Alligator mississippiensis: one gene and its partners. The main gene of each other region encodes a partner of the protein of the gene in region 2 in a complex. Links are inferred from orthologs where the notes say so. Each region holds a gene or a part of one and is shown on either strand. Other genes may lie near its edges. The genes, in order: APBB1IP, TLN1 and PIP5K1C.

What was found.
Region 1: the proteins of TLN1 (region 2) and APBB1IP are in contact, whole or in part, in a crystal structure (PDB 4W8P), measured with the Mus musculus proteins. The link is inferred for Alligator mississippiensis from reciprocal best matches to the Homo sapiens genes TLN1 and APBB1IP. Residues at the interface, in NP_035732.2 of Mus musculus: Leu1492, Ala1495, Thr1496, Val1498, Ala1499, Thr1502, Ser1503, Cys1506, Asn1507, Arg1510, Val1526, Ala1529, Lys1530, Ala1533, Asn1534, Thr1536, Ala1537, Val1540, Ile1543, Lys1544, Asp1547; in NP_062329.2 of Mus musculus: Asn5, Ile8, Asp9, Met11, Phe12, Thr14, Leu15, Glu18, Met19, Leu21, Leu22, Ser25.
Region 3: the proteins of TLN1 (region 2) and PIP5K1C are in contact, whole or in part, in a crystal structure (PDB 1Y19), measured with the Mus musculus proteins. The link is inferred for Alligator mississippiensis from reciprocal best matches to the Homo sapiens genes TLN1 and PIP5K1C. Residues at the interface, in NP_035732.2 of Mus musculus: Pro209, Val210, Gln211, Leu212, Leu214; in NP_032870.2 of Mus musculus: Pro646, Leu647, His648, Tyr649, Ser650, Ala651.

Annotation. Positions count from the first base shown.
Region 1 is NC_081828.1:189,074,524-189,082,368, forward strand, and holds the start of APBB1IP (amyloid beta A4 precursor protein-binding family B member 1-interacting protein), read left to right. Parts: upstream 1-4,825; 5' UTR 4,826-4,950; intron 4,951-5,533; exon of another isoform or gene 5,534-5,635; intron 5,636-7,845. UniProt on the Homo sapiens protein: Appears to function in the signal transduction from Ras activation to actin cytoskeletal remodeling. Suppresses insulin-induced promoter activities through AP1 and SRE. Mediates Rap1-induced adhesion.
Region 2 is NC_081826.1:303,314,061-303,321,163, forward strand, and holds the start of TLN1 (talin-1), read left to right. Parts: upstream 1-4,101; 5' UTR 4,102-4,189; intron 4,190-4,665; exon of another isoform or gene 4,666-4,733; intron 4,734-7,103. Other genes in the region: CREB3 (cyclic AMP-responsive element-binding protein 3), read right to left, coding at 301-686, 833-914, 1,065-1,149, 1,354-1,422, 1,914-2,020, 2,520-2,597, 2,766-2,875, 3,021-3,267 and 1 more. UniProt on the Homo sapiens protein: High molecular weight cytoskeletal protein concentrated at regions of cell-matrix and cell-cell contacts. Involved in connections of major cytoskeletal structures to the plasma membrane.
Region 3 is NC_081839.1:9,176,173-9,183,938, reverse strand, and holds the start of PIP5K1C (phosphatidylinositol 4-phosphate 5-kinase type-1 gamma), read left to right. Parts: upstream 1-4,672; 5' UTR 4,673-4,852; coding exon 4,853-4,943; intron 4,944-7,766. UniProt on the Homo sapiens protein: Catalyzes the phosphorylation of phosphatidylinositol 4-phosphate (PtdIns(4)P/PI4P) to form phosphatidylinositol 4,5-bisphosphate (PtdIns(4,5)P2/PIP2), a lipid second messenger that regulates several cellular processes such as signal transduction, vesicle trafficking, actin cytoskeleton dynamics, cell adhesion, and cell motility.

The DNA of each region.
Region 1 (7,845 bases), on a different chromosome or scaffold from region 2:
TTCCTCTTGTTTATTCCCCAAGGTCCTGGCATTTGTGTACATCAGGCTTGTCCAACATACAGCCCGCAGGCCACCATGTGATTTTATCTGGCTTGCGGCAGCAGCACCACCACCACCATGGAGCGCAAAGCCGCCGCGGTGGCAACAGTGCCACAGAGCGTGGAGCCGGCGGCGGTGTGGAGCCAGCGGCGAAGGCAAAGCAGGCAGGGAGCGCAGAGGGAGTGTAGCGTGGCGAGGCGGGCAGGGAGTGCTGCGGGGCGTGGAGCTGCGGCGGAGGGGTGGGCAGAGCGCGTGGAGGGAGTGCGGCGAGGCGGGCAGGGAGTGCTGCGGGGCACGGAGCCACGGCGGCAGGGAGGGCAGAGAGCGTGGAGGGAGCGCGGCGAGGCGGGCAGGGAGTGCTGTGGGGCACGGAGCCGCAGCGGTGGTGGGGCCGTGGCGAGGCGGGCAGGGCCAGCCCACGGGCCCCAGCCGGCAGCGAGGGGAGGGGAGCTGCTTACCCCTGTGGGGCCCGGGGGAGCGGTCCCAAGCGGGAGGCCAAGCAGCGGCTGCTGGCAGTGCCCCCCCCCCTTCAAGCCAGCCCCGCTGCCCCTGCCCTGCCCCACAGCAAGGCAGCGCCTGCTCCCCCGGCCAGCCTCCCCCCGGGCACTGCAGCTCTCTGGGCCCGGCTGCCCGTGCGCGAGGCCCCAAGGGGGCTGCTTCTCAGGTGCTGCTGGGGACAGGAGGAGCATGGCCAGGTCTGCACCGGCCAGCAGAAGCAGCAGTGGAGCCGTGTGCCACTCGGGACGAGACAAGCCTGCACCGGTCAGTCCCGAGTAGCACATGGCTCCACCGCCACTTCTGCTGAGTGGTGCAGACCTGGCCGGCCTCCTCCTGTCCCCAGCAGCACATGGGAAGCCGGCTTCAGCCGCATGCTGCTTTTCCTGGCCAGTGCCAACCCGGTTCTGCCCAGGCGGGTCCTGCAACACCATGTCAACCCGGTCATGGCACCGGCAGGCTGGGCGGGCCCCAGGTTAACCCTAGCCTGGCCCCACGGATTTTCCAGCACCAGGTCAACCTGGTTGTAGCCAAGCAGCTCCTGCAGCACCATGTCAACCCGAGCATGCATGCCATGTCAACCAGCACTATGTCAACCCCTACAACTTAATTGGTGTCAAAGGTCACGTGACATCATTTCCTGATATGATACCACTTCCTGTGACATCTTTGAATATGGCTCGCCAGCCCACTGGGTGATAAAAAGTTCGTGATCCGGTCCCACATTCAAAAAGCTTGAACACCCCTGGTGTACAGGCATGCAAGTGTCCCCTTGGGGGTCCTTGCCTTGCCTACAGATTGTTCCAGGGCTGGGGTGGGGGTGGGCTCTCTTAAGTGCCTTGGCCTGCTGGCTTTGCAAGGGTTGCTCAGCAGGCCAGCAGTGGCGGTATTCCCCACCCTGTCCCCCGACAGGCTTAGTTTAAAGCCCGGTGGAGCAAGTCAGCCAGTCTGGCTGAGAAGAGCCTGTTCCCCAGCTGAGAGAGCTGGAGGCTGTCCCTTCCCAACAGCTGGCTGCCTCTCTCACCAAAGAGTGGACTGTGGTCATGGAAGCCAAAGCCTTCCCGATGACACGTGCCAGTCTTTGGTTCACTACCTCAATCCTCCTTTCCCTCCTCAGCCCATACCCCAAAACCAGGAGGATCAAGGAAAACACCACCTGCGCCCCCAACCCCTTAAGCCCCGCTCCCAAATCCCTGTAGCGCTTCATGACCCAGCTGGGAATGCTACGAGCACCATGGACCCCTGGACCCCTCCCACCACAGACCCCACTTACCTCCGGCTGTGCTGGGGGTCGGCGAGGTGCTCCACGGCTGCTGGAGGTCACTGGGGGGCTTCAGGGAGCCAGGGCGCAGCAGACTTGCACCCACACATCTCTCGCCGCTCCCAGAGCCTGACCGGAGCTCTTGTTGTGAGCCTTTGATATTGCTACCAATCCACCTTCCAAAAGTTTCATCTTGGAGCTGGTATGGATGTTTTATCTTGGAGCTGGCCTTAAAAATCTTATTGTCAGTACTAATGAGTGAAGGTCTGTATCTGGAATATAATAGTATCTGGAGGGAACATATTCATATTTCATCAGCCCGAGACCACCAAAATCCTAAAGGAAAATCTGCACTAAATGAAGCCTATTTTAGCTAGGATGTACGAAATTCTGCTATTAAATTGTTGCGGCATGGATGTATGTATGACAAGGTGATCTGCTTTACATATACTTCCTATCCCCAAACCTCATTCTACCATCTACCTAAAGGCCGCTTTTTTTTTTTTAAGAACAATGTACAAATAGCATTTGTGTTTTATGACATTTCTGTGATTCAAAAGTAAATTAATGAGTTACAAAAGGTTATTTTCATTTTCTTACCCCTAGGGAGTAGAAGAATACATAGGTCGGATTATAACAGTAAATGTAGTCACTATGTATATTCAGCATTTCCACTGATTTCAATAAATTTTAGACTGGGTAGAGGCTAAACTATTCAATGCAATGAGAATTTTGTTTGTGTCAGTCTTGTAAAAAGCCTGTAAGATCAATCCCTAAATATCACATCATTATGAAGGCAAGAAGAGACTAAAATACAAAATGATGGGAGTATATTCATGGTAAAATTCATTGTAGAATTTTTTTTTTTTCACTCAGTGAAAAAAATGTGTTACTTGATAAATATCAGGTCTTCCTTCTGGAGTGTTGTTTTGCTGATGATAAAAGTGTTTCTTTCTATTTGTTTCCTCTCAGAAACAGATGTTCTGGCTTGGATTGCAATCGTTTGCTGTTTTAGTGAAATGTACATTACAATAAAATTCAACTAGTGTGGACTGTCGCGTTTTGATAAGGCTCCCAGAGCTGAATGTATATAATGACAGCATTCACTGCTCTAATATTATCCATCCATTGATCTACAAGGCAATGATAAGAAAAGAAAATGAACAATTTGTAACTGCATAAATTAAATTCTGAACCACACAAATGCCATAAAACACAATAGTTTTTTCCTTGAATAAGTGGCTTTTGAGAAGAAACAAAAGAATAGGGGGCTAGAGTTCAGGCAGAGAATGAATCCTATAAACATTCATTTTAAATGAGAAAGGAAAAAAACAATTAAGAAACATTACACATGCCCACCTGCTCATGCCACAAACTTTTTCTCTTATACATGTTAGGACACACATCATTAATCATCTCTGTATCTTCCTGCCACTTCTCTAATTACATTTTTTTCTTTTTCAGTATTCTGTAATCTCCACCCATCCCACTGAAGCAAAATGTTTCCAGAATGGACTACCACCAAAAAATAAGTCTCATTATTTGAGATCATTTGCAATTTGTATAAAATCACATTTTTTAACTCCTTCTGGGGATGATGTATGCCATGTGTCCACAAAAAGAGAATGACACCTACTCTGCTATCCTCTGCTATAAATAAAGCAAGACAAGAAAAAGCTCACCATTAATGTCATCAGCTATTTCTTTAGTTGTATTTCAGGCTAACTGAATAGAGCAAATATAAATTATATATATGTAACACCAGTAGAGGCACATTGACACTAACAAAAGGCTGTTCTTTACTTGTAAAACTAATCTCCATAATTCAGCAACTGTAGATATACTGCATACTAAATCACTGGTATAAATTGGAGTTAGGTGTTTTCACTAGTGCATTGCTTATGGAGGGGATGTGTGAAATTTTCCACCAGAAAGGTCCTAAAGAAAGATGCCATGCTGGTTAAATTTTTTCCATGAGAAATTGATTATTTGAATCACACTTTCAAAATGTCAGTGGGAAATTTAAAACAAATCTGAATTGACATTTTGAAATGATTTCTGTCTCCAATTCCAGGAACTGAAAGAATCAAATGCAGAGATAGACCTGCTCATAGCCTACTGGAACATGTTCAGTACAGCTGGACGCATAGGAGACTGTAATTGCCAGATTCAAAAATCTCTGATGAGTAGCCTAGAGTGAAATTTTTCAGAGATTAATGATTTGGTCGAATGTGGGTGGATTTTTATGGGGATGACGAAAAGCACAGCCCTCTTCCCTGCCAAAACGCAAGGCCTTGTTCTAAAGCAGTGGTTCTCATCCTGTGGTCCACAAACCCCTGGGGGTCTGAAGACTATGTCTAAGGGGTCCACAAAAGATGGCTATTATCAATCAAAAGTACGTGAAAACCCACACTTAGAATTTAAAAGGGTCTGCACCTCCATTTGAAATTGTTTAGGGGTCCCAAAATGAAAAAAGCTGAAAACCACTGTTCTAAAGTACTCAGTGACAAATATTCCCCAACCACTTTCCTGAAAATAGTTAAAATGTTTTACCTGAGACTTTGCAAAACAATCCAGCCCCTGTCAAACACACGGCATAAAAAACTCCAGCCCAAACACTTTAAGTTTGGCAAAATTCTAAGCAACTAAAAAGAGGGTCTCCTAATAGCAACGGCAACGCCTGTAACTACACGAACAGCGTATGGTAGTCAGAATCAAAGTAAAACTGCAAACCACAGACATTATAGTTACTGGCAGGGGCCTCAAGTTAATTTTCAGTCTAGTAATTAAAATAACCTATGAATGTATCCGGCACACTTCATTTTGTTCTGTTTTAGAAAAGTTAGATGACAGCCTGAACAAAGCCTTACTAGATTGTCTAAGTTAGTTCCCCTTTTTTGACACAGTGAGCAAACCTAAGGATGAGTTGCCTTTCCTTTGTTCTCGGCAGCACTTCTTTTCCTGGAGTTTCATCATTGTTAGGGGCTGCAAGGAAGGGTACAGATCATCAGGCGCAGGCCCCTGCACTTGGGCTGGGATCAGATGACCCCAGCACCATGGGCGTGGAGACGCTTTTTGGAGATTGCCAGAGTGGATGACTGGACCTCCTCTGAGTTTAACACGCTGCAAAATCCTATCTGCTCAGCGAAGACCAGGTACAGAGATTCGGCCTCTTCTGGGAAAGCTGCTGCCTTCCCAAGAGTGTAAACTGTTCAGGAGTTTTCTCCCAAAGTAAAAATGGCGGCTCCGGGAGGAAAAGTAACCTGGCAACAACCAGGATGAAATCCCTGCAGGGAGAGTGGCCCTGTAGGCGCTGTCCTGTGGCACGGGAGTAATTGGAGCAGGGCACATTGTGGTCGGGGGAGAAAACTTGTGTACGAGTCAAACACCTCAGCCGGCCTGGCCGGGACAGTGACACCGTGAAGGGGCCGCTGAGTGGGCGGGCAGAGGGGTCAAGAGCAGCCAGGGCTTCCTTCACCGTACCTCCCTCCCTAGCAGGGGCGGCCACCCCCGGCCCCAGCCCCGGCCCGCCGCCGGAGGGAAATGCCCGGGCCGGTCTCAGGCTGGGCGCCCCTGCGCCGCGCAGGAAGGCCCCGGGGCGCAGCGCGGGGAGGACGGGGCCGGTCCCGGCCGCAGGGGACCGGAAGGACGACGCCCGTCGGGGCTCCCCCGGGGCGAGGCGAGGCGAGGCAAGGCGAGGCGGGGCGGGGCCGCCGCGGGGGTGTGACCGGGGTGCCCGCGTAGCCCGGCCTCCCTTCCTCCTCCCTGCCTGCGTCCCTGCCGGCGCGGGGAGCGCTGTCCGACGGGCCGCCGACGTGAGGCCCCCGCGGCCGCAGCGAGGTGAGCCGGGCCGGGGGGCGCGAGGCTTGGCGGCTCCGCGGGACATCCCCTGCCCGCGGGGCCGCGCCGGGGCCTCCCGCGGCGCCGTGCCCTGCCTTGGAGGGCCAGCACGGCCCCGGCCCCGGGGGGCTGGGCTGGGCTGGGGGCGGCGGCGGCGGCGGGCCCGCGGGGTCCTGCTGAAACGTGCCGGGAGGGGACCGGGAGGGCGCCGGGTGCTGAAGGCAGCGAGGCCGAGACGGGCCGAGCTGTCGGGGAGGATGAACGCCCTGGCCCGGCTGCCCTGCAGGTGGCACCAACGGGGGAAAAACAAGGCACAGCCTACCGGCCTCTGTAGAGGTGCTGCCTGGGGGACCGAGGTGTCTTCATCCTGCTTTCAAACCGCAGGGCGCCCTGTTAGCCCTCTGCCAGCTCCGCGGGGGATGAGGTCCACAGCCAGCGCTTCCTTCAGTGACAAGGACACTTGGCAGAAGCAAAATAATGATGCTCTAAAAACAAAAAGGGGGGTGAGGGGGCAGTTTCCTTTCACCTCATGCACCTAGTTCATCTTCAACCAACGTAACCTTACCTAAAGCAAGGACTTGGAAGGATTGAAATTATATTTATACTTCATAAGATAAATATATGTGGTCCTGCTATTATATACATTAATACATTTATATATATAAGTGAATAATAATATATCCATTAATTAGTTAATATACATAAATCAATCCCAGCCTTGGCTAGGAAGATCTAGTTGGGGATGGTCCTGCTTTAGGCAGGGGGTTGGACTTGATGACCACCTGAGGTCCCTTCCATGCTAATTTTTTATGATTCTACTATGATCTAGTTTCATTTGATTTACCATATTTGATGTTATGGGAGCTACGTTTGTAATTGACTGCTCTTCTCTACTCAGCATGTGTCATTCGGATTCAGATTAATTTCCATTAAGGTTGACTAAGCAGGCCTGAAGCTTACAGGTCCATCCCTACCGCCTCCTCCCCACATAGGCAGGCCAAATTCTGTGTCTTGTGTTCATGAAACAGCAGTCGTTCCTGCCCAGAGCAGGGGGGTTGGACACGATGACCTCAAGAGGCCCCTTCCAGCCCTAAACGTCTGTGTGAATCTGTGAAAACGTGTGTTAGCCTCAGCCAGGCTTTCATTTTAACTTCACAGTGAACAGAACTAGTCAATAAATGTTTGCATTATTTTAAGAAATAAGGCTAAATCTTGACATTTGCCCTGAGAGCTCATGGAGAATGAGTAAAGTTCCCTAACTTTAAAAAGAGGGACTGAAGGAATCACAGGCCAGTCAGCCTAATGTTGATGACTAAGAATATTCTAGTACAAATTATTAAGCAATGAATTTATAAATGGCTAGAGGATAATACGGTATTACAACAGCCAAGGTGGCTTTGTCAAGAATATATCAGACCAAACTGAACTAATTCTTTGGTAGAGCAATTGGCTGCATGGATAGGGGGGAAGCAGTAAATGTAAAGTTTATTTTGCCTTTGAATATAGCCTTTGATACAGTTCCATATGACATTCTCATATCAAAAATAAGGAAAAAATGTCAAGAAGAACAGAGTCATCAGAGATCATTGAAAAGGACAAGTCAAATGGGTCTCTCAGGAATTGGTCCCAAGTCTAGTTTTCCTCAATATTTGCATTAATGTCTTGGCTGATGCAGATGATACCAAATTTGGAGGGGGTTGCAAGAACTTTGGAGAACTGGTTCATAACTCAGAATGATATTGATAAATTGGATAAATGCTCCAAAATCTTGCTGATTTTTAACCAGTAAAGACAGATGCCAGTAAAGACAAGTGCAAAGTACTGTTCTTTGAAAGGAGAAATCAAGTTCACACATACAAAGTGGGGAATAACTAGCTAGACAACAGTACTGTAGAAAAGGAGTTGAAAAGTATAACGGAAAAAGTTAACGAAATACTGTTGTGAAAAAGGCAATCTTAGATGTATTAACAGAAGCACCATCTGTAGCACAACGGAGGTGATTGCAACAAAGCAACAAAAATGTAGAAAGATGACCTATGAAGAAAAGTTAAAGAAATTGGATTTCTTTAATCTAGAGCAGGGTGGACCAATTTACGGCCTGTGGGCTCTGCAGCCACCTCTCCCTCTGCTGCGCAGTGGGGGAAAGAGCCGGGAGGGGAAGGAACTGCACGCCACTCACGCCACGCACACAGTGGGCAGTGGAGGGGGAA
Region 2 (7,103 bases):
GTCCTGGGGCCCAGTTAAGAGAAGAGAGCCTGGTGCCAGCCCAGGCACCAGGCTCCAACTCCAAAGGGCCAGGGGAACCTGCTGCCGGTGCCCGTTCCCCCCCAGGCAGCTGCAGCTCAGCACATTGTGGGGGTCTCCCTGACCCCGGGGGCCACGGACCTCCCCGCTCAGCTCTGCCCCACTGCCCAAAGAGGCCCTGGCCCCCACAGTCCAAGTCTGGCCGACACTGCTGGAGAAGGTGCAGCGGGGCACCCAGCGCTGCAGTGAAGAAGGCTGCGCTGGGCGGGCCTGACTGGGCGCTCACATCTCGTCCGCGTGGTGCTGCTGGATGATGACGCTGGTGCTGCGCTCCACCCACTCCTGCTTCTTGGCCTCCCAGGATACCGGAACTGTGGAGGGCAGGGAGCTCCGCCCTGAGGGCTCCTGTGGGGGATGTCCGGCCTGCTGGGAGCCCTGCACGGAGGCGCTGGGCGCAGGTGGATCAGAGGACGAGTTGCTACTGATGGCAGAGTGGGACTCTGCCTTGGACAGACTGTGGCTGCCCTCTTGCGAGCGGTTGAGGCTGTCCTGCAGACCTGGCTCTGGCTCCGGGGCCAGCCCCTTGGGCATGCTCTCCTCCTGCCCATCGGGTGCCACTGCCCACGCGTCCCCCATGCTCGGGAACTCGCGGATCTGCCGGGACAGCACTGCAAGAGAGGAGCGCATGACTCTCATGCCTGGTGGGGCAGACGAGCCCAAGGAGGAGCCAAGTGCCTTGCCCAGCTCTGAGAGGAAGCACAGACTGCCAGGCCGGATCCCACCTCTTCCACCCGCCCTGCAGTCGACCACTCACCTCCACGCAGCTCCTGCTGCCGCCCCCCTGCTCCGAAGAAGAGGCTGGGCGTGAGGATGAGGCAGAAGGACAGGAACATGACCTGCAGAGAAAGTGAGCCGTCAGCTTTGGCCCAAGGCTGGGGACCGAACGCTGCTGGGAGCCCTGCGCCCCTGCAGGAGAGAGTGTGTGGGCTGGCAGAGGCTCCCGCGGCACAGGGGACAGGCCCTGGCCTGGCTGTTGGGCCACTCACCGCGATACAGGTACTGGCTGTGGTAGTCTTGGTTGAGGACTGTCGCACCAGGGCCTGGAGCTTCCGCAGCTGCTCCAGCAACGACCTGCAGCAGAGCAGGAAACGGGGTGAGCACAGCCGCAGCCCCGGGCCAGGCCAGCCTCCTCCCATCCCCCCTGGTCCCGTAGTTCCAGCGTGCCTGGCAAACAGGCTCGGACTGTTCTGCACCAGTCGCTGGTGCTGCCCTGCAGGGGCTCAGGACCACAGAGGGCCCCGCTGCCCTTGCCAGGTGCTCACGTTGGGGACTCACATGTTCTGCTTCTGCAGCAGCTGCACCTTCTTCTGCAGCTCGTGGTTCTGCACCGTGCAGGCTACCACCCTTCCGGCAGGCAGGGGACACAAGACAGCACATCAGCCAGACCAGACTTGGGGGCTCAGCTCAGCGCCTGGGGGCTGACGGCGCAGGGCAGGAGGGCCCGGCTCCTTGCACATGACTCGGCCCTCCTAGCACTGGGCTCCCAAGGTCTTACGGGGGCAGGGCCCTTGTGCTAGGCACCTGGGAGGAGCCCCCAGCTGACGAGGCAGGGCAGGGCTCCATGGGACGTGAGCAGAAGAGGCGGAGGCTCCCAGAGGAAGAGGGCCTGGCTCTCCACAGCAGGGGCTGGGCCCTCAGCCACAGGAGCAAGAGCTCCAGCTGCCCCGCAGGGGCAGCATGGCAGCTGGGCGAGGCTGTGGGGCTAACAGGACCTCCTATGGAACTGCTCCCCGTGCCCCAGGTCATGGATACAGCCCCTACTACAGGCGCTGTGGCAGGGGGACATGCCCACATCACTGATGCGTGGCTCCCTCCGCCCACGCCGGGCTTGGTACCTGCTCTCCAGCCCATCCACATAGATCTTTTTGCGCCGGCGGCTGTCCTGGGCCGACTGCTTGTTCCGGATCTTGCGACGCACCCTCTTCAGCAGCCGCTCCTCAGCCTGCAACAGTCACTGCTGTCACTGGCCGTGCCCCCGGCACCAAGGCAGGCAGCGAGGCTGGACCCTGGGCCGTGCAGCCACTAGCCCGCGGCCAGCAGGTACCTTGCACAGGCAGGGAGGCGGACAGGGCAGAGCCGCTAGCCCTGGCCCCCGGGACAAGGCTGGCTGCACACAGGCCTGGCAGTTTAACGGGCCGGGCAGCTTCCATCCTTCCGCTGCCCGCTCCCTGCATGAGCGCAGCGAGGCCCCTCGTGACAAGGTGACGCCTTGGCTGCCAGGAGGGCGAGGGGCAGTGGCTGCAGGTCCAGCACAGCAGCCGGCTGGGGGCAGCCACAGGAGTGGGGCCAGCAGCAGTGGGGGCCTGGCCCCCTGCCCCTTCCAGCCACCGAGGCTGAGCCACGTGCCACGGCCCCGGGGACTGGGGCTGCTGCTCAGCACTTGTGCCCACACCTGAACCCCTGCCTGGGGAGGGGTGCGGTGCCAGCGGGCAAGGGCTCACCTTGGTGAGGGGCAGGTGGGACGGCAGTGTGACGCCATCTTTCTCCAGCAGCTGCCTCTCCTCCTCCGTCAGGTCCAGCTGGAGACGAGCAAACCCCAGGGTAAGGAAGGAAGCGCCAGGCGGGGCGGGCGCCGGGAACCAGGACTGTCCCCGCGCAGGAGCCTCCGCTAGTCCGCGGTACCCGACAGGCCTCCCCGCGGGCACCTGCCGGCCCGTCTGCAGGACTCCTGGGAGCAGGGGCTGTACCTGCGTGGGGGTCCCAGGCACGACGTCCTCCACGGCCACGGCCACGGGGAAGCTCAAGCTCTGCTCGCTGCCCGAGGTCTCCTCCGCGCTCTCCAGCCCGGCCCACGCGTCTGGGAGAGGAGGGAAGGGGTCAGACGACCCCCGCCCCACGGAGCCGCAGCCTCCCCCACCAGCTCCTGGGCCCGGGGGCTCGGGGCAGCCCCGGCCGCAGCCTCCTGCCCCTCGCGGCTCGGCGCGGGGCCGGCCCGTGCGCACCCAGGTCGATGAAGACGTCGCCGTCGGCGGGTCCCGCGGGCGCATGCTGCAGCCACAGCCCGTCCCGCAGCAGGGAGTAGTTGTGCTCGAACTGGACGCTGTCGGGGCCGGGGGGGCTGCCGGGGGACGCGGCCCGGCTGTCGGGGCTGTGCGGGGGCTGCTGCGCGGGGGCCGAGCAGCCCGGGCCCTCCGCGAAGGGGCTCAGCAGGGCGCTGAGGAAAGCGTCCACGTCCTCGTCTCCCGGGAGCTGCAGACCCCAGCGTCAGCGTGGCGGGCGGGCGGGGTAGGGGTAGGGGTAGGGGTAGGGGTAGGGGCCGCCCCGCCCCGCCCCGGGGCCCAGCCTCACCTCGGGCTCCAGCAGGCCCCAGGCGCCGGGGTCGGCCGGCAGCTCCGCGCCCTCCGCCAGCAGAAAGTCCAGCAGGTCCCGGTCCGCGTCCGCGACCCCGACCCCGTCCCCGACCCCGACCCCGTCCGCCAGCGCCAGCGGCGCCCGCTCCGCCGCCGCCGCCACCGACACCGACATCTGCGCGCGCACCCGTCAGCGGGGCCGGCCACGTCCGGGGGGGGAGGGGGGGCGGGGCCGGCCCGAGGGGGAGGGGGGGACCTGGCCCGGGCGGGGGGGGCCCAAGGGGGAGGGAGAGGGGCCCAGCCACGGAAGGAGGGGGGCCCGAGCGGGGCGGGCCCGGGGGGGGGGGTCCCGGGCGGGGCGGGGCGGGGCGGGACCTGGCGCTGCCGCCTGCCCGCGGCCCGGACGCCGGGGATCCTGTCTGGGGGGGGCACCTGGGTCCCCGCCCGGGGGGTGCACGCGCCTGGGCTCCCGGCCCCGCCCGCCCGCCCGCCGGTACCTCCGCCGACCCCGGCTCCGCAGCTGCCGCCGCCTCCTTCCAACACACCAGGAATGACGTCAGCGCCCGCGGCTCCCAGCACCCACCGCGCGGCCCCACGAGGGGCCGGAGCCGCCTCGAGCCTCCATTGGCCGCGGCGCTGCCCGCACCCAAGATGGCGCCCGATTGGCCTCACCCCGCCCGGCGCCCTCACTGCGCCGGCACCATCGAGCGCAGGGCCCAGAGTGGCCGTGGGGCGGGAAGCTGAGAGTGCCGCTCTGTACCTGCCCTGTGCTGCTCCCAGCCCCGCGTCCGCCCCGCAGCGCCGCGCAGCCCGCGGGCCAGGTACGGGGGGGGGAGGGGGCAGATGTGCGTGCCCGCGGAGCGGGGGGGCAGATGTGTGTGCTTAGATGCGTGTCCCCAGATGTGGGCGGCCAGAGCGCGCGCCGCAGGGGTCTCCTGCTTAGGCGGGCGCCCGGGGTGGGCGTGCGGAGGGGTGCCCCTAAGAGGTGTGCGCGGCAGGGCGCCCCGCGATGTGCGGGGCGGGGGGCGCTGGGCGTGCGGGCCCCCAGGCCCGGGCCGCCCCGCGCTGCGCAGCCCTCCCTGGGGTCCCCGTGCGCGGCGCCCGGCTGTGCCGGTGCCCTGCCCGGCCCTGCCCGGCCCCTTGCCGTGCCGCCGTGTCAGCCGGGCCGGGCCGGGGCGGGGTGGGGCCCGCTGCCTCTTGGCAGGAAGCGCAGCTCGCGGCCGCCTGCGGCTCCTGCTCGCTCCGCGCCCGCCCGCCCGCCGCTTCCTTCCTCCGCCCCGCGCGCAGGCCCTGGTGGCGCCCGCCCGCCCGCCCGCCCGCCCGCCGGCTCCGGCTCCGGGCCCGGGGCACGGTTTTGTGCGACAGGTTTGTGTGCGGGGCGGGGCGGGGCGGTGGCAGCAGATGCAGGCCGGCCCGGGCGGGAGGACACGGCGGAGCCCAGGCCTGGTGCGGTGCGGTGCGGGTGGGGGGAGGCGGCGCGCGCGGGAGCCCCGGGCCGGGCCCCAGGGCGGGTGCGGGAGGGGCCGCACTTGGTGCTGGATCCCGCAGCTGCCGTTGGGGGGCGGCGGGGGGGCAGGAAGCCGTGCCAACGCCCGTCCCGGGTGTGAGGCATCCTGACTCGCGGCTGAGCCATGGTTTGGCGGCGCCGCGGGGGGCCTGCTGCCCCCTCCCCCGCGGGGCGCGTGTAAGGAGCGTGGCGCACGTGGGCCGGGGCCGGGGGTGTTGCGGTGCTCGGCTGGGCCGCCCTGGCGTTGTTGGCACCTGGGGCTTTGCCCCCTGCTCTGCCCCCTTCCCTGAGACGAGACGGCCTGTCTGGGCCGTGGCTGGGGGCGGGGGTCCCTGCCGTGGAGCCCAGCTGGCTGTGGCCCGGGGGGCCGAGCCGTGCAGTGTCTGGCTTAGCGGGTGATGAATGGACGTGGCCGCGGGGCCTGGCAGCGCGGAGCTGGGCGCTTTCCATTTTTAGTCAGTTGTGTCCTGCAGCTCTTGCTGCAGGGTTCCTGGCTCCCGCCCGCTCCCTGTGCCAGCCCCAGGTCCGCAGCGCTGTGCTGTGTAAGGCTTCCCGGTCCCATGCAGCTGCTGGGCTGTGAAACCACCAGCGTTTCCTGGTCCCTGCCCCAGGGAAGGGATCTCCTCGCTGCGGGAGGTCTGCTGCTTGCCCTCCTGGCATCCTCCCGGCTCTGTGGCCCTGACCTGATGAGACCTGATGACTCTTCGCCTTCACGCCTTCCCCTGAGCTCTGTTGCCTCGTGGGGCTGGGGGTCCTGGCAGTACCTGTCCTGGGGGTGCCTCTCCCCTGCCCCAGTTGCGGGTTCACCCCATGCCCACATTTCCTGAGAGCTGGAGTGTTTCTTTGAAGGCAGCTGCCGGGCTGTCCCCAGCACGTGCTGGGGCCCGGGGACTTCTGAAGGGGATAGGTCGCAGGGGCTGCCTGTCTGTGGGCAGAGGGGGAAGCTGCCTGGGAGGGAGGTGGGCCTGTGCTCCAGGCTGAAGGACAGGCAGATGCGTTGGTCTGTGGGCAGCGGCTTCGGGCCCCGACATGCCCTGCAGAGCGTGGCGGGGCCTTTATCTCGAAGCCCTTCCTGTGACAGCGAGGCGCCAGGTGAGGCGATTGATAGCTTCTCTCAGATGAAGGGCTGGGGGTGCATTTCCACGTGAGGGGTCTGGACAGGTATGTGAGCCTGTTTCTGACTGCTCCTGCCTGGAGAACGGCTGGCCGGACTCAAGGCAGCAGGTTTGCTCACGGTTGCTCCTCTGTATGGGGGCACGGTCAGGTGGGCCAGCCGCCGTCGCCTTGACTAGAGCCACGTCCCGGCTGCGCCCCTCTAGGCACAAGACCCTCTCTTGTATGTTGGCACGGCTGCCCCGCTCCGCTGCGGCTGGGCTTTCGGAGGGGCGCCATCCGCCAGTCCCTTGGCATGCTGTTTGGCTCTTGTTGGCGCTGGCGCCTGTGCAGACATGAGCTGTATCTCCATGGGCAGGAGAGCACGTGGGACTGCTTTGAGCTCTGCGGGGCAGCGCGGGGGCAACGGTGCTGTGCCACCAGAGCTTTGCCTTGCAGGGCTACAGGGCAACTGAGGCAACTGCTGTGGAGCCATCAGCAGTCCTGTCAGCTGAGGCAAGTGCTGCCCCTGCATGAGTGCTGAGCCCGCCTGTGCCCCCCAGCGGGGGTGAGGTTGCGCTCCCCTTCGCCACGTGTCAGGTAGAGTAGCGCCTGAAGTGTCATGCTGCGCATCGTGATGTCTGCCTCGGGCTTGCTGTCCTGCTGCTTGTGCAGGGCAGGAGGCAATGCCATCGCACCAGCTTGGCAGCGTCGGATGCCTCCTGCCCCTCGTGCCCAGCTTTCAGGCCCTCCAGCAGAGGCTGGGGTTGCTTTCGCTTGCCCACGCTTCGTGATGGGGCCTTGGTGGTCCTGGCCTGGAGTTAATTTTAATCTTCTCCTCTACAACGGGGCTTGGCACAAAGTGACCTGGTGCCTCCAAGTGAAGGCTGTGAGGACTGTGTGGCTGAAGAAAATTGTGCAAGGCAAGGGCCTGGAAGCAGGGAGCATTGGCCCTCATGGGCAGGGGCTTTCCCGCTGGCCTGGGGAGGGCAGCTTGGCTCAGGTACATGGGGCAAATCCCATGGGGAGGAGACGGTGTCACCAGTGATCCTGTCCCAGGTGGGGAGACTCCGTTCTGTTAGTGACGGTGGCGCCTGGTAGGGTCCAGACTGGCTGCCTCAGGCACACATGCTGGT
Region 3 (7,766 bases), on a different chromosome or scaffold from region 2:
CTTACTGCCAAATGCCTGTTCCACTAGTGCCCTGGTGAGCTTGCTGGGCCTCTGCAGAGATGGAGAATAAAGCAGGGAAATCCAAGGCTGCCCACGGCGCTAAGCAAAATGTTAAATTATTTGCAGGCAGCTGATCTGGGCAATGTCTCCTTGCTGCGGGTCACCAAGGCTCAGAGGAAGGAGATGCTGCTGGAGACTGGGGAGCACATGAGCCACTTCACTGCCTGCCTGTTTGCAGCAATACTCCACTGGGCTGTCCTCCCTTAAGGCAGCCCAGAACCTGAAGGAGTCCCCAGGAACCTGAAGGAGTGGAGGAGTGGCTGTGGGAATATCTGCTATGGCACTTGCTGGTGGTGCCCCCAGGGAGCAAGGGATGTTGCTGTCTATTCAGGCAGGTGGCACAGCCCCTATCAGCTGCATAGCTGAAGTTTCTCAATGTGAGTCTCAAGCTAGCACTTTGCTACTGCACCATGACCTCACTAAAACTCCCTGGCAAGACTGCATCCTCTCCTGTCTGCCTCTGCGCATGGTACTCCATTGCTTTAGAAGCTCATGGCCACCCAGTATTTACAAGCAGCTTCCCCATCAAGACACCGCTCCTGACTGACTCCCTGACTCAGCAACGTGCCTGTGCACACATGGCCCCACCGTGCTCATGTTGCAGCACACTGTGCTCTGCAGGACAGAAAACAATCACCATCTCCATCTGAGTGGGGAAGGGCACTTTTCACGGTCCAGGAAACAAATCTTTTCTTCTCTCCTTTATGTGCCCGGGCAAGGAGTGGTCAATAAAGCAGCTCTTAAAGCAAAATTCAAACAGAAGGGGTAGAGTCTGCCAAGGAACAGGCAGGCACAGGGGAAAACAAGAAGTGGTAGCGTTTGCCAGAGCTTGTTTCTTGAACCTCACTGCTGTCCAGCTGCATGGACCAGCCCTGGCTGTGACTCTCCTGGGTCTCAAACAGCATGTGGCTCATCCCATTTCTCCTCCGGAGAAAGGCTGATCTGTTCCTTAGTGCAGAGCACAGTCATGTTTCCTCCCTGTGGTTCACTAGGCTCTCCTTCAAAATGTCCACTGTCAAGACATGGACTGTGGTAGGGGCATAGGCGGTGAAAGACTGGGGCTAACCATTAGCCCCCAAAACTTTTTGTTGTGGCTGACAACAGCAGCATCATTATCGTCCCACAGCGCCCAGTGCTGCTTGGCATGCAGCCACTCCTTCGCTGCTGCATACAGCCCCAGCGCATGCTGGCCCTGCAACAGCCCTGTGGGAGGGAGGGGCAGGGTTCAGGCAGGGGCTCAGTCCCCCCCCCCTAAAATAATATTTCCCCCCATTGCTTGTGAATAGAGCCTTGCCTTGAATTGCCTCCAGCTCCATAAAAAGAGGCCATGTCTTGAAGAACACTCCTAAATGTTCGTTGTGGAGGACCACCCTGTGACAGGCCTGCAAACAGCTTTCATTTGCCTTACACTGCCTGCTGTTCAATATGTTCCCCCAGCCATCTCCTCAAACACATGGTGGTTCCTTCATGGAGCTGGAATTGAACAGCTCCCTGATCCCACAAGCTTCCTTCTACTCCAGTAAAATGCTTAGGCATTGCATGACAGCCTATCTTGGCTCGTCAACTTGCTGACTCTCCCATGTTCTGGTGATAGAGAATGGGTGTTTTCAGAATGATGGACTGATTTTAACGGGGGGTGGGGGACAGTCAGTTTGAGCTGTAGTCAGTGGAGTCTAAACCAGACTCCAGAGAGGAAGTATGGGATTGCTTCTGAAGGATTGCTGAGGTTAGCAGATTGCTCTTGGGTGGCAGAGGGTTTCTAGGCAAAGCTAAAGGATTTTTTTCTACCTTGAAGGCATGTTGTGTGTAGACATGTGCAAACTTCTGCCAGGAAAACTTACATGGAGCAGGTCTGCATGAGATAGGCACTCACTGAGAGAAACTCTTCACATCTTCTCTCTCTTTAAAGGTTTTGAAAAACTAGCTGAATTCAAACTTAAAATACTCACTAAAGCAAACAAATTTAATACAAAATTCAAAGCCACACAAACAAGAAAACCAGCATGAGATTATGTATCTACCAACATCCTTTTTTCTAGTTTACGCATGCACAGACACTCACAAACACACCCTGGCTGTTTTACTGTGAAAACAGCCGGTCACCAAGGTCACACCCAGACAAATGCAACTCAGCCTATTGCAAGTTCCTGGTGAATTAAAAGTCTCCTGGGTAGAAAATAATAAATACTGTAATACCAGAGACCTCACATTGGTGTAGGGAACAGATTCTTGTTTTCTCAGTCAACCAGGACTGAATACATTGCACAACAGGTGTATTTGCTTCCATGGGAGAAGGGGATACAGCATTTTGCACTGTTAATAGCAAGGCCTTGTTCACCAACATGAGGCTTAGATGTTGTATTTGGTTGAAGACTGTCCACAGTCAGATCCTGGTCTATGACTAGGGGCCCTAAGTGATACTGCAATACACATAATAAATTATGATTATTATTATTTAATAAATGATAGTGGCAATGTGGGACTTCTAGGGTTTGTGTCTGGGTGTGAGAAAGAAAAGGAAGCAGAGCTCCATCAGGAAGCAGTGCTCTGGTGAGAGAAAGGGAAGATGGGCAACAGCCTGCAGTAACATACTACAGTCTTGGAACACATTCAATTTGTGTCATTCCAAGTGCATTTGTGACATCCCATAGTACAAGCAGATACACTTTTAAGCCATTTGTGACATTGGAAGTGTGAGGAAAACGTAAAAGTTGTGCCCTTTAGGTTGAGGTTTATCTCGAGTGACATCAAACGGTGTACTTGCTCCACAGAGATATCACCCTACTCCAGCATCCCAGAGTGCCCTCTGTTTCTCCTTATGCTCCAAGGCCCGTCTTTCCCTTGACCCAGACTCTACTGCAGTGGTTCCCAACCTTGGGTTGAGACCCAAATGAGGGTCATGGGGGTAATGCCAGCGGTGCCGCACACAAGGGACAAGCTGTGTTGTATGCTCAGAGCTCCCCTGCTCTTGCTCCGGGCCACTGCCGCTGTCGCACTCCATTCCCAGCAGCGATTCATGGCAAAAAAAGGTTTCAAAATGCTTGGAAAAAGGCAATCTTAGAAATCTCCCAAAGAAACCACGTGTGGTGTGGACAGTGCTCAGGGAGGTGTGGGCAGTACAGTTTGCTGGCAGGAAAGGGTGGGGCAGGAAGGGGTAGAAGTGGATTGATTTTCCATTCAGTGATTTGGAAGCAAGAATTAACCATTAACTGTTCCAATGAGCAGTGAACTACTCCAGGAGCCCTTCCCATGTTGCATCAGGGGCTCGGATTCTAACAGGGTACAAGGAAAAGAGCAGGGGGGGCCTGAACACCAGTGTCTGTCTCCTAAACCTCAGTTCCTCAGTTCTTCCCATGAGCCCTCTGGCCCCTGTGCCTCAGTTCCCCTCAGCTAGAGGCAGTGTCAACCAGACAAGTAATCAGCGCTTGCTTTCCTACCCTGTGCTCTGATCTCAACCGAGGCAGGGGAACCCCTGCGTGCTGGGATACCTGCTCAGTCCCCTCGGGTGGTGGAGTGCCAGCAGGATACCTTCAGACTTGGGAACGTGAACCAGAGCCTGCTCCTCACATCCCAGCTCTGCTCACAGCACACAACTCCACACACTGGGAACGGCACAAACTGAACCTGTGCCAAGCCCCAACTGTATCCCGATGAGCCAGCTCTGAACCGGCCAGTTTGGGGAAGAGAGGCCATCTGGCTGCGCTAATGCACTGGGCTAAAATGCCCTGCTTCTCAACAGAAACGGGCAGAGCGCCCTGCCAATGCAGCAAAATTTATTGCCAGCGCCTAAACTGGCTCATCAGCTTGGCTGCCTCGGCATGACGCTGCACTATCCCTTGCAAATGTGCTCCAAGAGTCGAGCTAGCGACGGGGAGCCGTGCTGCGAATCCACGTCCTGTCGGACTGTATGCCGACTGCTGCGTAAACGAGACCGAACGTATCCCGAGGAGCTGGTGTGGACAGGTCGATGTGCGTTTTAATGTGCGATAAACGGGTCTAGTCTAAGAAGGAAGACCAGATTTGGACCTCGACCAGTTCGCTATGTGTTAAAGCAGGAGTTTTGCTGCGTGAATCACAGCATCGTTAAAACAGTATCTTACAACCCTGGGCCGGCCAGAGCCAAAATGGAGATGCGGGAATGAGTTACTTGAAGGGCATCTTCCAGAGGAAAAACACGGGTACAGCTGACGGGTTAGGGTGTTTTTATTTCTCAAGGGCTGCCAGTCGGCGGAATGGCTACCCAGGGGGTGGGCCCGTCGGCCTCATCCTGCCGCCCCCGGGATTTCCTCGGCCCTAGAGGTCCGTCATGATGCCAGCAGAGCAGGCCGGCACAGGCAGCCCGGCCACCTGGGGCTGTGCAGGAGCAGGAGGAGATGCAGGGCCCAATTTGCCCCCGCAGCGAGAGAGCACGTGTGTGCACGGCGAGCCGCCTCTACCCCCGAGTGACCCCCAGCGCCCAGCTGCGGCGGACTTCCGCTCAACGCGCCGCTCTGGCCACCGACCGCCTCTATGATCCCCTCCCCGCCGCGAATGGCCCAAGCTGGCCTGCGGCCCGTGCAGCACCGCTCTACCTCTGCCTCCCTGCTCTCTATGGTCTCCTCCCGCCTCTGGGCTCCCGGGGGCGTGTCTATCCGCGGTGCCCGCTCTCTATGGTACCCGCGGCCCGTCACGGCTCCCAGTCTCCTCAGCGGCGGCTCGTGCTGGTGTCGGCGGCGGCCGCGGGAGGGGGCGCGGTGGCCGGGCCGGGGTCGAGGTCTGGGTCTGCCCAGCCTCCCTCTCTCCCCGCGCGGCTATGGAGCTGGAGGTGCCGGACGAGGCGGAGAGCGCCGCCGCTACCGGCGCCGGAGCCATCACTCCCGAGGCTGGACCGGACGCGGCAGGAGGTAAAGGGGCTCCGAGGCAGCCGGAGGCGACCTGCTGAAAGGCAGCGCCCGCCGCCGCCTGCTCCTGGAGAACCCCGAATGGTAGCGCCCTGCCCCCCCCCTCCCCAGCACCCTGAATGGTAGTGTCCGGCCAGCACCCTGAATGGTAGCGTCCGGCCAGCACCCCCTACCTCCCCCAGCACCCGGAATGGTAGCATCTGGCCAGCACCCCCTGCCCCCCCTCCCCCCGGTGCTGGACTTCGGGTGACGGAGCTGGCAGGAGCTGCCTGGCCTGATCCTGCTTGTCACGCCTCAGGCGATGCCACGGGCATGAGGCACCCTGTGCAGGGAAAGCCGGGCGCTGGAGTCCCGGCGTGGGGTCAGGCGCAGCAGTGGCAGCAGCATGTCCGGCGAGCGGTGGGAGCTCTGTGGCTGGTGCAGGGCACTGGGTAAATCACCTGTTGCCAGCCCGCATCCTGGGGACAGCCTTGGGCTAGTCCTCTAGCCACCCAGGAGATGGTTTTGTGCCCGGCTGTCGTGCGGCAGGAGCCCCCTGATGAAGCCAGCCTGGGGTTATTAGAAACGTGAAGGGCTGCAGGGCAAAAGCCACCTTTCTTTCCCAGCCAGATCCCGCCAGTCAGCGGCCCGTCTGGTGACACAGGCAGGCATGCCTGTCGATTAGCTCGCCACTGGCTTTTCCCTGGTTTCATCCTTGCAATGTCCTAGCAGCCACGCAGGCACTCTTGACTTCACAGCCTCCTTGTAATGGAGGGAAATGGTGATCCCCATGCAATAGATGGGGAGCCTGGGACACTTGCATGATCTGGCCAAGGTCATGTATCTGATGAAGTGGCCATCACTGACGAAAGCCGGAGCCTCTGAAACAGTCCTAAGGTGCCACCCTGGCCTGGCTTCAGGCAAACACAGCTAGCCACCTCTCTACGGTTAGTCTGGGAGCTCCTTAGCTTCAGTCCTGCAGTCAAACCCCAATGTCATCTTTCTCCTGAAACTGCATTTTTTAATTGAAGCTGTTCCTTACACCCTGTCTGTTTCCTTGATGAAAAGCTTGAGCTCTGTAATGGTCCACAGGGTTAGGTTTCACCTTGTTTGCTATAAGCAATCGGTGGAGGAGGAGGGGTGGGTGGGGGGTTTGGTTTTCCCTCATCGGTCTTTAATGCTTTCACTAGTTACTTGTGCTCTTCCTGTGTTCTCCTCCATCTGGCCCTTATAAGCTGTGAGAATTTTTCCAGTTGCAGGAAAGTAATATTTCTGTCATCTTACCCAGTCAAAATCAGAAGGCTTTGCTTCTGAAGGTTATATGAAGTGATTATTAGGCTGGAAACGAGCTTATATTAGGAGGTCTGTCCTTTTCTGGCCATATTAAATGAATTTGGGAGCCTCAGATAGACAGACAGGATCAGAAACATGTTGCTTGCAAATCCACCTACATTTCTTCCTAGTGTCCAAGTAATTCATTACAACTTCACCTTACACTGTCTAGATACTTTCATAGGTGACCATGATGCAGCCATTCTGTGCTGTTAAGGTGACAAGTTCCGTTGTGGGCCTAAGTGCGAGGTGCTGAGCAACTATGACTCCACGCACTGCATTTAGTCATAACGTTTCAGAAAACCAGCTGAGTCTTGTTATCTTATAAAAATACTCTCTTTTTCTTTGGGGTTTTAAAGTAAACTTAAAAAATGGACAGAACACTGCTTGATTATCTTAGAGATGCCATTTAATGGGATTGGCAGTAATTTTATGTATTTGTATTTGTTTTCTTGAGAAATAGAAACCAGACCCTGGGTTTTGTTTTCACTTGAGTTCTGCTAGGCAAAATGGAGGGACTTGTTGTAAGTGAGCTCTAGAAAAGTAAATGGGGGAGTCCATAGGTTTCTTTTTCTGAAGGACTGTGAGAGATTGGTTTAGCAAAACGCTGCAAAAGGCAGCAGCTTTATGGCTCTTGGTGCTGAGAAGAGAAAAAACTGATCGTCAAAGAGTAATAAAATTGTCACTTGCTTCTTCCAATTTCTTTTTTCCCTTTTTTGGTTTCTTGAAAGTACTGGAGGCTGAAGTGTTTTATTTTGATACTTTGAACAAATGAAGCTGGAAGATATTGCTCAGCTGTGGACTTGAAACAATGAGTGGATAATTTTTTCCTTCTTCAACAGAGAAGCATGATGTCTGGGCATTAAAAAAAACCCCAAGCCCCATAGAGTAGCTTGGCTTGTTTGTGCAGCATCAGACAGATGCTGCGTGAAAAGTACTCTTGTATAGATGCTTTAATTTGGGGCATGGGTAGTTATTCTTTACTTGTGTAGTGTCCTAAGTGTGCTATGTGTGGTTTCAAACCCCAAAGTATTTCAAAACCCGAAGTGCCTGGAGGCATGCAGTATGAGACCCATTTTTTCTTTTTTTTAATGATTAAAATAAAAGGAATACAGTACTCAAATCTGAAAGGACCCAAACATCCATAAAAAAGCCATATTGAAATTCTGTGTGGTCCAGGCTGCTTGCTGTAACAGGCATGTTCTGAGAACTGGCATTTCTATGTATGGGAATAGTCTTCCAAAATAATATAGCTGAGGGCAGACGGGCTGAATGCTTTCCACATCACATGTTTTTCCTTCTTGTCTCTGGCTAATTCTTTGCTAATGAAGTTTTCCATCCATTGCAGCTAGTGTACGTAGTACCAATGCCTTAATCACGACATGGTGGGCAAAGCCCTTGTTTCCATCCACAACTGCTCTCATGCCTGCTACCATCAGTGAAGTGTAGGCCCCTTTCTGGTTGCTTGCCAAGAAACGAGGTTGGATTGGCTCAGTGCTGCACTTTTTATTAAAT